Linked DNA regions of Saccharomyces cerevisiae S288C. The gene in region 1 interacts genetically with each later gene. Each region holds a gene or a part of one and is shown in the gene's direction. Other genes may lie near its edges.

Region 1 (7,026 bases):
GCTCGCCCATGGTGATATCTTTAAAGATCTTTAAATGGGAACATCAAAACTGAGGATTTCTCGCCTCTTCGAGTTTTTGGATAACAAATGCCATGCCCATTCTGCTTTTCTTAACGTTTTCGTCAAATTTAGTGCGCGACCAATCCTCTACCTTAGATTTGATACCCATATTGAAGCCACTTGAAAACTTCACCCGGCTGTCTGCTATCGTACTACTTGTAGCACTGTCAAATTGATAGGTAGTATATTCTTCAACCTTCATGATTCCAGTGTGATCCAGATTCCTAGTGTAAGTTTTCATTGTGGAGTTAGCGGGGTTCACTACGGAAACTTCGATTATCCATGTTTCTGTTATACCTCTTAAAAAGGGTTTGACCCATGTGGGCAGCTTTCCGGACTTTTTCAACAGCCTCGTTGTGCGCAAATTTCCTTCTTGATCAACGTTCCTTGATATTGTGTCTATGGATAGTACATGGGGGGAGTATGGATTGGGGTATCTATTAAAAAAGGCGCGTGAAACAGAGGCAAAATCGGTAGGAAATATATGTGTGCTTTTGTGTAAAAGGACCATTGCAACTCTTAAGGATATCTTACCGCCGTCTCAGAAGCCAGACAATACTTATTGAATATGATTACTCATCCATCTGTCATATATATTTTTTTTTTCTAGCTTATTATCCAGGGAGAGCGAGAAATACTGCGGAGTTTTTCACCCGAAAGAAAAAAAATACGCAAGCACGATGATAACAATAGTTATATTATTGGTTACCTACAGTGTATAAAAAGAAAGAGTTTTATTAAAATGCAGAACTATGTGGTGGTATACAGAACTGATTATACATTCTATAACAAAAGGGCACCAACGGCGAATGCACCCGCACCATAAGCTATGTGAGTGCCGGCAAAGGCGCCATTGGTAGAATTGGACATTACGGACGCTACCTTACCGTTGACTGTAGACTTGTATGTAGTGGTCAGTGTCTCTACTGTAGAACCTGACGTAGTGGTATAAGTTGATTTGATAGTGCTTACTACCTTGGTGCTTGATTCCGGTTTTGATGAGGATCCCGAAGATGATTTACTTGATGAAGCCGTGTTGTCAGTTGTGGCTGAGGACGGTAGCCACCAAACAGTAGATGTGTAAGTCTCACCTAACGAATTCGTGGTAGTTACTATAGTAACTGGCCCGTCCGTTGATGTTGATGTCGTTGAGGAGGATGCGGAGTTGGTGATTCCGCTTGACGTCTCTCCGGTGGGCTGCACAGAGGCAGTTGAAGTTGTGCTTACGGCAGAGTTGCTTTCGGCCACCCACCATAGGTACTGTGTCGTGGTTTTGCCTTGTGCATCCGTCGTCACTACGGTGGTACTTGGAGCCACAGCATAGGTGTTGCTGACGACGTTGCTAGTTTGTACTAAGCTTTTTCCGGTAGAAACTACAGTTGATGCGCTTTCTTGGGCTTCCTTTGTCGTGGTAGGTGTGATCTCTTGAGAGTTTGAGCTTTCCTTTTGTGAGCTATCTTCAGAGTTCTGGCCATCTAAGGAACCAGAGTCTTTTTGAGCAGCGGCTAGAGTAATTAAGGTGGTAAATAATATGGAACAGGCCTTCATTTTATATATATGTTGGGTTTGTTTATATTTTCACTAGATCGGTGAGTATCTAGTCCAGAAGAGTTGATCTTTCTTACATACTTATATATGCTCACTACCGCCTTCTGAGAAAGTAGGCGTTTTTCAGCTACCTCAGTCGCTAAAAATAAATGCGAGTTCTCAAGCCAACTTGGACTCCAAGGCGGTAATTATAGTGATTCTCTTTGTCTATTTTTGGATTTATTTTGGAGGCTGACACTCTAAAGCCAGCCATTGGATTAATTATTTTTTCACTTCGTCAATTGACTATGCGGAAAAACTAAATGTGGTCAAATTCTGTCGGCTATGTACACGAAAACTATATACGCCTCGTCCTTTCAGCCACTACAACATAACAACACCGACATTGCTACGCCTTTTAATGTCGTTACTATTGTCGGGATTCAAGCCACCGGTAATCGGCTTTGCTCTATAATTAAATAAATAGAAGTTCAAGAACCCGTCACCGGGCCCGAACTTCAAATCATCCAAGAACAATGTATTATCTTGCGAAGTCAACGCGTTAAAAACATCCATATTAGCGTTTTTGGCCAAAATACAAGCGTCATAAATCAATTCACACAATCTTGTTTTCAAAGCCTTAGTAGCTTTTGGATCAAACCTGTCTTTGAATTGGAAATCTGCATCGGTGGCATAATAATACAAGTACCCGATGCCTAGGTCCTTATATTTTGTGTTATTTAGGATTGTGAATGGCAATGAGTAAAATGAGAAGAAGTCTGTAATTTTTCCATCGGGCTGTTCGACTACATATGAGAAAATTACTTGTTTATCCAATGGTAACGATTCTTCACCAATGAAATTATGTTCGAATTCTTCTTTTGTGAAAATTTGAATTAGTTCGAACCTGGATTGATATCTTTTGAACAACTCAAAAACTTGGTCAATATCTTCCTTCTTTAATTTTCTCAATCCCGCTGTCTTTGTTTTGGCCGGTAACGCATTCTCAGCAATCATATCCTCCTCTGTGTGCCCATCTGGTAACCCTGTGAAATCTACTTCATAAAGTTTCTTCCAATTCAAGGGACGATGAGTATAACGACACGTACTCACAGGTGCTGGCAAAACAATACCTGCCGTGTACAATGCATGCCAGATGTCACATTTGTTCACTCGTCTCGTAATTTCTTTAATTAGAACAGGTGTTAATCTCTTCGATCTTAGCTGTTTGTGAACGCACAAGAAATTGATTTCTACACTAGGCACTTGTTTACCTCTAACACCAAGTGTTACTGGTATGGCTGAGATAAAGGCAACTAATTTCTGTGTTTCTTTAACGCGAACACCAATATGCCAATCCTTCTTCCAACCTGGACTCTTTAAAGCCCAATTGAAGAATTCTTTGGTATAGTTAAATCTGAAGCCTGCATCGCGGTCTTCCACGTAGTTTTCATTTAGTAGAACGAAAACATCTTCAAGCTGTTTTTTGTTGTCCACATCAATACTACACCATTCGAAGCTAGACAATAAAGGTAGTGGCTTGTCAGATATATCTTCCGGTGTCTTTGGCTTATCAATGGGGCCTTCTTCCACCACCTTTTCATCGAAATCTTTGACCGGTTGCGTTCTCCAGAATTTGTGGTCTTTCATAGCTTTTTTCTGTTCTTGAGTGAATTTTGAAGTATCGTCATTATTCAACTGTAATAACTTCAATAAATTCTCTAATTTTTTCGCTTTATCCTCTTCTGACATTCTATAAATACGTTTACTACCGAAGCTCTATGACAACCAGAGCTATTGTACAGATCATTCTCTAAAAAGCGTGCAACACATATCATCTTCAATTATAGTGAATTACTTTTATCATGAGCAACGGCTGAAATTATTTTATCCTATTGTTTTATGACAGTATCCTTTCAAAAGAGTCGAAAGGATCCTCTGTTGCAAGAACTACTATTACGTAATTATACATAGTCCGCCTGCAATTTCTAGTGAGACTTTGCTTTGCTTTCCACTTTGCGATTAATATTGAGAATTTTAAACGTTAACTGAATTCTTACCCACCCATAATAAGAACTCTAACTGGCGAATTTATCATGAAACAAATCTGCAAGAATAAAAAATTAGAGAATCGTGCAATTCAATTTAATTGCCTTGTCCGTTGTAAAACTTTTCCATAGGCCCTACCTTGAGTTGATCATATGTATTATTCTATATATATTATATCCAGTCGGGTAATAAATTTTCTCGCCCTCGAAAAAAAGAAGTGAAAAATTTGTCTCGATGAGCTGAGATGAGTTTGAAAGAAGCAAAGAGTTTTAATTTGTAAACGATAGCAAGTGTACCCTCAGTTGAGTCTATTACGCCTTCCTTATTTGGAAACTTAGAAGACGAATAAAAAAAACAAAATAACTAATGATTTCTGCTACTAATTGGGTTCCAAGAGGGTTTTCCTCGGAATTTCCTGAAAAGTATGTTCTGGATGATGAGGAAGTGGAAAGAATTAACCAATTAGCACAGTTGAATTTGGATGATGCTAAAGCTACTTTGGAAGAAGCAGAAGGCGAATCAGGTGTTGAAGATGACGCCGCAACAGGTAGTTCTAATAAGTTGAAGGATCAGTTGGATATAGATGATGATTTGAAAGAATATAACCTGGAAGAATATGACGATGAGGAAATTGCAGATAATGAGGGTGGTAAAGACGTTTCCATGTTCCCGGGTTTAAGTAATGATAGCGATGTTAAATTCCATGAGGGTGAAAAAGGTGAAGATCCATATATTTCATTGCCTAATCAAGAGGATAGTCAAGAGGAGAAGCAGGAGTTACAAGTTTACCCATCCGATAATTTAGTTCTTGCTGCGAGAACAGAAGATGACGTTTCGTATTTGGATATCTACGTTTACGATGACGGTGCTGGGTTCCACAGTAGCGATATTCCCGTTGAAGAAGGTGATGAAGCTGACCCAGATGTTGCTCGTGGATTGGTTCGTGACCCTGCACTTTACGTTCACCATGATTTAATGTTGCCTGCTTTTCCACTATGTGTTGAGTGGCTTGACTACAAGGTTGGATCCAATTCCGAAGAAGCAGCCAATTATGCTGCCATTGGTACGTTTGATCCACAAATTGAAATTTGGAACTTGGACTGTGTTGACAAGGCCTTTCCCGATATGATTCTGGGTGAACCTCTTGATAATTCAATGGTGTCTTTGAAAAGCAAAAAGAAGAAGAAGAAGTCTAAGACTGGACACATTACTACTCATCATACCGATGCTGTTTTATCCATGGCACACAACAAATATTTCCGTTCCGTTTTAGCATCCACCTCTGCAGATCATACCGTAAAACTATGGGATTTGAACTCAGGTAACGCAGCCCGCTCCTTAGCTTCCATTCATTCAAACAAAAATGTTTCATCATCTGAATGGCACATGTTGAATGGTTCCATTCTTTTGACCGGTGGTTATGATTCTCGAGTAGCTTTAACAGATGTTAGAATTTCTGACGAAAGTCAAATGAGTAAATACTGGTCTGCCATGGCAGGTGAGGAAATAGAAACTGTTACATTTGCCAGTGAAAATATAATATTATGTGGTACTGATTCTGGTAATGTGTATTCTTTCGATATTAGAAACAATGAAAACCGTAAACCAGTTTGGACATTGAAGGCACACGATGCTGGTATCTCCACATTATGTTCAAACAAATTCATCCCTGGTATGATGAGTACAGGGGCCATGGGTGAAAAGACTGTCAAATTATGGAAATTCCCCTTGGATGATGCTACGAACACTAAGGGCCCAAGCATGGTTCTGTCTCGTGATTTCGATGTCGGAAATGTATTGACATCGTCATTCGCTCCAGACATCGAGGTAGCGGGTACCATGGTCATTGGTGGTGTCAATAAAGTTTTGAAACTATGGGACGTTTTTACCAATAGATCTGTACGTAAGAGCTTTAAAAGTGAACTAGAGAATGTTCAAGCAAGAGCAAAAGAAGAAGCCCAAAAAATAGGAAAAAGTTCAAGAATCGCCAGAAAATACACCAGTAACGATAACCCAGATACTGTTATAACCATTGATGATCAAGGTGAAGATGAAGAAGAAAGAGAAGGTGGAGATGAGCATGATGACATGGCATAATCTGGATATGAAAAATATTAAAGCAGAGTACATTGCAAGTACAAATAAAAAATCTATAGAAGATAATACTGTATACTAGTGTAAGAGGAGCCTCAGAAAAAAACAATATAATACATTAATATGTGCTGTTACGGTATAATTTAGCATATGATGACAATGTGGTGAATTACAGTTGTGTAACTTTTTTATATCACCCGGCATATATACGCTCGTAGAATGCGATGTGAAAATTTTCTTTTTTTTTTTTTTTCAAAGTGAAATTTTTTTGAGTGATGAGATGGGAAATGAAAAATTTTGTGCAATTGCGTAGTGTCTACAGTTTTTTAAGTAGTTATTAAAAGTGTTTTGGAAGGTATATTTCTAGGAGAAGAAGCGTGCAGAACAGTATTTAGTGAAAGATGGCTCCTATTGAATACCTACTGTTTGAAGAACCTACTGGTTACGCAGTTTTCAAGGTTAAGTTGCAACAAGATGACATTGGTTCAAGATTAAAAGAAGTTCAAGAGCAAATCAATGATTTTGGTGCTTTTACAAAGTTAATCGAACTTGTATCTTTCGCGCCATTCAAAGGTGCTGCTGAAGCCCTTGAAAATGCTAACGACATATCAGAAGGTTTAGTCTCTGAGAGTTTGAAAGCTATCTTGGATTTAAACTTACCAAAGGCTTCCTCGAAAAAGAAGAACATTACTTTGGCTATTTCCGATAAAAACTTAGGTCCTTCTATTAAGGAAGAATTTCCATATGTTGATTGTATTTCAAATGAACTTGCTCAGGATTTGATTCGTGGTGTCAGATTACATGGCGAAAAATTATTCAAAGGTCTACAATCTGGTGACTTAGAAAGAGCCCAATTAGGTTTAGGTCACGCTTACTCCAGAGCTAAAGTGAAGTTCTCTGTTCAAAAGAACGACAATCACATCATTCAAGCTATTGCTTTATTAGATCAATTAGATAAAGATATCAACACTTTTGCTATGAGAGTTAAAGAGTGGTATGGCTGGCATTTCCCCGAACTGGCTAAATTGGTACCAGACAACTACACTTTTGCCAAGTTGGTTCTTTTTATCAAGGACAAAGCTTCATTAAACGATGACTCCTTACATGATTTGGCTGCTCTTTTGAATGAGGATTCGGGAATTGCACAAAGAGTCATTGACAATGCCCGTATCTCCATGGGACAAGATATATCAGAAACCGATATGGAAAATGTTTGTGTTTTCGCTCAGAGAGTCGCTTCCTTAGCTGATTACAGAAGACAATTATACGATTACTTATGCGAAAAAATGCACACTG
Region 2 (5,278 bases), on another chromosome or scaffold:
CAAATAACAGAAAGGATTGGGGTAATGAATATCAGTAATGTCTATTGTTCCCGGCCATGCCGCTCATTCAAACTCTATATCGGAACCCAAGAAATCCAGATCACCATTCGGATCACTTATTGAGCTCGCCGCTGTATTACTAGAATAACTATCGGATGATTCAAGATCAATAGGAATTATTTCAGGGCAGTTTTCGGGGCCTGATTTTAGGACTTGTTCACCCGCTTCCATAGACGACATCTGTTGCGATAGATTATAAATTTTTGAAGGAAGTGTATGAACTGTCGCAATATCTGTATTTTCTTCTTGCCACTGCTTTGGTTTACTATTCAGTCTTTTTTCCAGGTGAGGGGTTGTGTTGATATTTTTTGCAAGCAGTGGCTGGCGTATTTGATCAGGTTTTGATACTGGCTTGATTGAGGAGGGTCCTTTTTCTTTTATATACTTTACTGGAATACCCTCTTTACAACATAAATGTCTGCATTGCGTTTTGTCTTTGCAGCTATGAAAACACTCGTAATTGCCATTAGATCTTACTTGGCGGCCATTACTAAAATGTGAAGAAGAGTGTGCCTCCGGGTGAATAACTGCTGCAGATTCAACCGCCTTTGATGATTTCTTCCTTTCATTCAAATAATCTAGTATACTATCATCTGAGGATAGCGATTCTTCTAATCCATCTTTATGGGAAACCCTAGACGTTTTCCCCACTTCTCCGTCACTACTGCTTTCATAGAAGAGGCATTTTTCTAAACTATTTAGATCTTTCCTTATATTTGGTGTCTTCGCAGAGAACTGTGATGCCAAATGATCAGTGGAATATACGATTGTTTTGCCGAGTCCGGCGATTTCTTGGCAATGAATTGAGAATTCTATTTTTTCTAGTTTTGGTGATATTTTTGCTGAAATTCTAAAGCCCCTTGGTGACTGTAGTTTGTTAACTTGCAATCTTCTAAAGTCGATTAACTCTCCTGAGCTTTTCTCGGTTTCGATATCTAATGAGAGGTGCTGACCATGCCAAATGCTAGACTTGAATGTTGCACTAATCTCAACTTTAAATGTCAACCACAACTCTTCATTTTCTATTTTGCAATTTTCTAGTTTTGTTCTAATATTCAGACAAGGCAACAAAGAAATGTCGTTTTTAATTTTTATGCCGTTTCCAATCTTGAGGTTAAGATAGTATTCAATCTGAGTATCTGACAAATGCCCCATTTCTTCTAGATTGGTAATTCCATGTCGTATTAGCCTTCTTACTGAAACTAGTCCAATTGTTTTCAATTGCCTAAGAACCATTGGCGTGTTTTCCCAGCAGTGACCATTCAGGCTTCGCAGTAAGAACAAAGTATTTTTCAGTGATGTTCCATCACTTTTTTCAATAAATGTGTCTACCATGCATTTTAGTAATCTAAAACAATGTCTAAAAACGAGGAATTTATCCTGAACAAGAGTTTGATGTAGTTTAGAAGCGCCTTCGTATGATGGAAATTCTAACCCACCTAACTCATATTGAATCAAAAGAGAAACCTTTTGACTAACCCTGTCAATTATTTGGCTCTGTTTCTTCTCGGTTAAAAATGGATATTTCAAAAGTGGCGATAAATTGATTTCTTTGAACAATTTTTTTTCATTGTGCCTCACCCTCATAACTGAAAACTCTTCAGAAGTGGCCAGTAAATTTAGTATCCCTTGTAATGATAGAAATTTTTTTGCGTTAATGAATTGTTTCATCGACTCAAAGGATATATAATGTCGCGTCATTGCATTTCCGTACGCTGTAGATTTGTACTCCCCATTGCTGATATCGATTATTTTCACTTTTACTAAGGTGTCAAGCAAATACTGACAGAATTGATTTATCTGAGAGTCTTCAACGGAATGAAAACTAACGTATCTGTTCACCTCTTGATATGCAGCTGGATTCTTCCCAAATCTAACGTAAAAGAATGTGTTTCGTAGCCAATTTACTGCAGTTTCAATTGAATATACAGTTTCCAAAGAGGTTTCTGCTGCTAAATGCTCGATCAAATTCAAATGTAATGAACTTTCCAAAACGTCAGTTCCATGAATTAAGTTTTCATATGTTTGCTTCATTTTAGAGTCTGTCATGATTACTGCGCACCCGTGAGTTTCAAATTGAGGTCTTCCTGCCCGCCCAATCATTTGCAGTACATCTAGGTCTGAATACTCTTGGATTTCAGAAGAGTTCCAACTTTTGGTGCCTTTGATAATGACCAAATATGCGGGAAGGTTCACACCAACAGCTAACGTTGAAGTTGAACACAATATATTAATTGAACCTGCAAGAAATTCTTTCTCAACGGCAGTACGGTCTTCTAAAGAAATTCCAGCATGATGGAAAGCGATACCTTGTTGCATACATTCATTTAATATTTTATCGGAGGGATTATGATTACATCTTTTCTTACTTTTTGAAAAAATATGATTATTTAATAAAAATTTTGCTGTTGATATAGTTGAAGCCCTAGTCGGACAAAATATTAGTACGGGACGATTATCGGCATGCTTTTCAATTATTTCAATCAATTTGGAATTATATATAGCATCTTTTTGGAAGTCATTTTTGCAATTGAAGGAGTACCCATAAACAAACTTCGTTAACTGAACTTGCCTGTACGATTCGTCAAAAGAAAGAATATTTGCAGGAAGCTCGTTGTTAGTTTTGAGCCACAATGCTAGGTCTTCTATATTTGGAACTGTTGCACTTAAAGCAACAAACCGAATGTTTTGACACATTGTATTCATCCTTGTCAGAATTACTTCCAAAGATGCTCCTCTTTTCTCCTTTATGGTATGAATCTCATCAACTAGGACAAGTTTGACCAATTCGAATAATCGGCTGTAATCGGACCATCTTCTTGTTAACAAATCCCATTTTTCTGGTGTCGTAATTATTATGTTACATTTTTTAGCCTTTTCAGTTTCCAGAAAAGAGGTATCACTAGTAAGCATACCAACAGAAAGATTCACAAAGGAAGGAAACCAGTTCTTGTACATCTCGTAACATAGAGATTTGGTTGGCGCGATGTATATAATTTTGGTGTTATTGGTATCACTATTTGTTTCCTTTATAAGACGTAATATTGCCAATTCAAATAATACAGTCTTGCCTGATCCGGTTGGTGAAGAAATTATGCAGTTCTCGTTACTCTCATAAATACTAGGAAAAGCCTCTGATTGCATTTTATTAAATTCTGTAAATTTAAAAACCCCTCTGAATGAATCTGGTAATATGGTCGTGCTCAAACATTTCTTCGCTGATTTCCTTATCGTGACCTTCTTAGGTTTCTTCGCCTCTTCATCAGGTGTCTGCTCTAAATCGTGATCAAATAATTTACTAGTTACTTGTGTATCATCTGCTGTTATTGAAAAATTATCGTCTTTGTCGAAGAATTGCAGACCACGGCCCTCAAATATTTCCTCTGTTTCATTTTCATCATCACAATCATCCAGTAAACTGTTATAAGACAAACCTACTTTAAAACTTGGTTGGCGGCTATTTTTCTTATTTCTTTTAAATGTAGCAGACTGGTCGTTAAAGTCAATATCTATAAGTCCTCTGAAATTCTAGTCCAGAAAAACCACTTTTGGTTGCATTTCCGCTAGATAATAAAAGAAAGAGGTAACAATGTTAGTCAAAATACTGTTGTTGTCCGATATGGTGTAAACTGATAAGGGTGTTGCTAAGCTTCGTTACTACTATTTGGAGAGGGTCTACTTCTTTTTCCTGTACCGAGGCGATCAAACTTTGTTTTCATCCTTACGACGCCTCTTAAGTTGTCAAATCCACCTTGAGGTATCAATCATTTTCAATGAAAGGATTTCTTGATAGATGATACTAATAGTCCCGTTTTGTTTATAATCCGGGGCAAAGTCTAAATACCCGCCGAGCCTGCATCCATTCGTGGTACATGATATGTTAAAACTACAACAAGGCATAAAAAAGGGAAGTATATATGATTAATTATATATACGTAAAGGAAAAGATACGTAGTTAAAGATTGTTTTTGTTGGTATCAATGGAATCAAAGATGAGTGAAGAAGAAGCGCATAAAACAGTGGAGGTGGATGACGTCGGGGTTCAATTGGATGAGGGCGATGAAGAAGACCTTTTGGAGTATGATGATGAACTCGTGGAGGAACAACCATCGGACGCCCGTATACGCAACGTGGCAGAGACTTTAATGAAAAGCGAATTGCCCAAAGTCACCGTGGAATATAAAGATACTACATTTCTGTTGTTCACGTCGGATGATAAGAACGAAAGTAACAACCCCATAATATGTGAAAACGCTGCTCTTTATCAGCGACCCATGGGGGAATTCATGGAATCCATTCGTAAATTTATGGGAAATCGTTTTGGCAGGTTGGCTTTTGCTACGAAGGAGTTGGTTTTACAACTGAAAAGCCTCGATTTGACCTTGTTCGAAGATAATGTCTACAACAACCATATTTCATTCAGCGATGTTTATACTATATTTAAAATCCTGAAGGAAAGATCGGAGTCTAATTTTGAAACTGATATACCGACGCACTTGGCTATTGAATTAAGTACAAGGCCAAGATTTGTCTCTCGGTACAACGCCTTGGTTGAATTAACTGAAAGCTCAGCTACGTTGAAAAACATAAAGCCATTTTCTAACGATGAAACGCATCCCTTAATTGTGGATGACAATGACCAATATACACACCAGAATACTTCAGAAGTCATTGTAATGGACATAGATGATGACGTAGGTGAGGATTCTGAAGACTAAAGTAGCCATGTTTAATCAGCACTGATCGTGGGAAATCCTGATGTCCAACGGTGAGTTTCTGATTTCCCAGTCACGGATTCCTTTTGAGAATCTTCTCCCGCGAATAAATTATTGGCTCTGTGTAATATTTAAGGTCGCCTTCTTTTTCGTTTGTATAGTCAGCAGTTAAGTATTCATTAATTTTGGATGATGCAAAGGTCCATATTCGATTTCTGATAGCCCTTCCCCCTTTTTTGTAGCGAATTGTATTATTGTTTTGTATTGTTTTTTCGTCATTTTCTTCAATTTTTTTCAAGTTTTACTTTCGGAAGAATTGCTGAAAGTATTTTCTGTTAGGATATGTAAAATACAAGCATAAAATATGTTTCAGGAGAAGAAAATCACTCAATAGTGCCACACCATTGTTAACGAGCTCGAGTAATTGAATCAATTTAGAGAAATAGATCATATTACAAAAATACTATGATTATTGAACGTTGGGAAGTAAAGTTATCTAAATG

The links.
Region 2: mutations in PWP1 (region 1) and RMR1 together harm fitness more than expected from each alone (negative genetic interaction), as found in Saccharomyces cerevisiae (one large-scale study listed by BioGRID).

What each region holds. Positions count from the first base shown.
Region 1 is NC_001144.5:539,966-546,991, forward strand, and holds PWP1 (rRNA-processing protein PWP1), read left to right. Parts: upstream 1-4,002; coding exon 4,003-5,733; downstream 5,734-7,026. Other genes in the region: UPS1 (Ups1p), read right to left, coding at 44-571; NCW2 (Ncw2p), read right to left, coding at 844-1,608; glycylpeptide N-tetradecanoyltransferase NMT1, read right to left, coding at 1,972-3,339; snoRNP complex protein NOP56, read left to right, coding at 6,132-7,026.
Region 2 is NC_001139.9:27,858-33,135, forward strand, and holds RMR1 (Rmr1p), read left to right. Parts: upstream 1-4,052; coding exon 4,053-4,778; downstream 4,779-5,278. Other genes in the region: HFM1 (DNA helicase), read right to left, coding at 64-3,569, 3,722-3,779; ZIP2 (Zip2p), read left to right, coding at 5,241-5,278. UniProt on the Saccharomyces cerevisiae protein: Required for normal levels of gene conversion events during meiosis.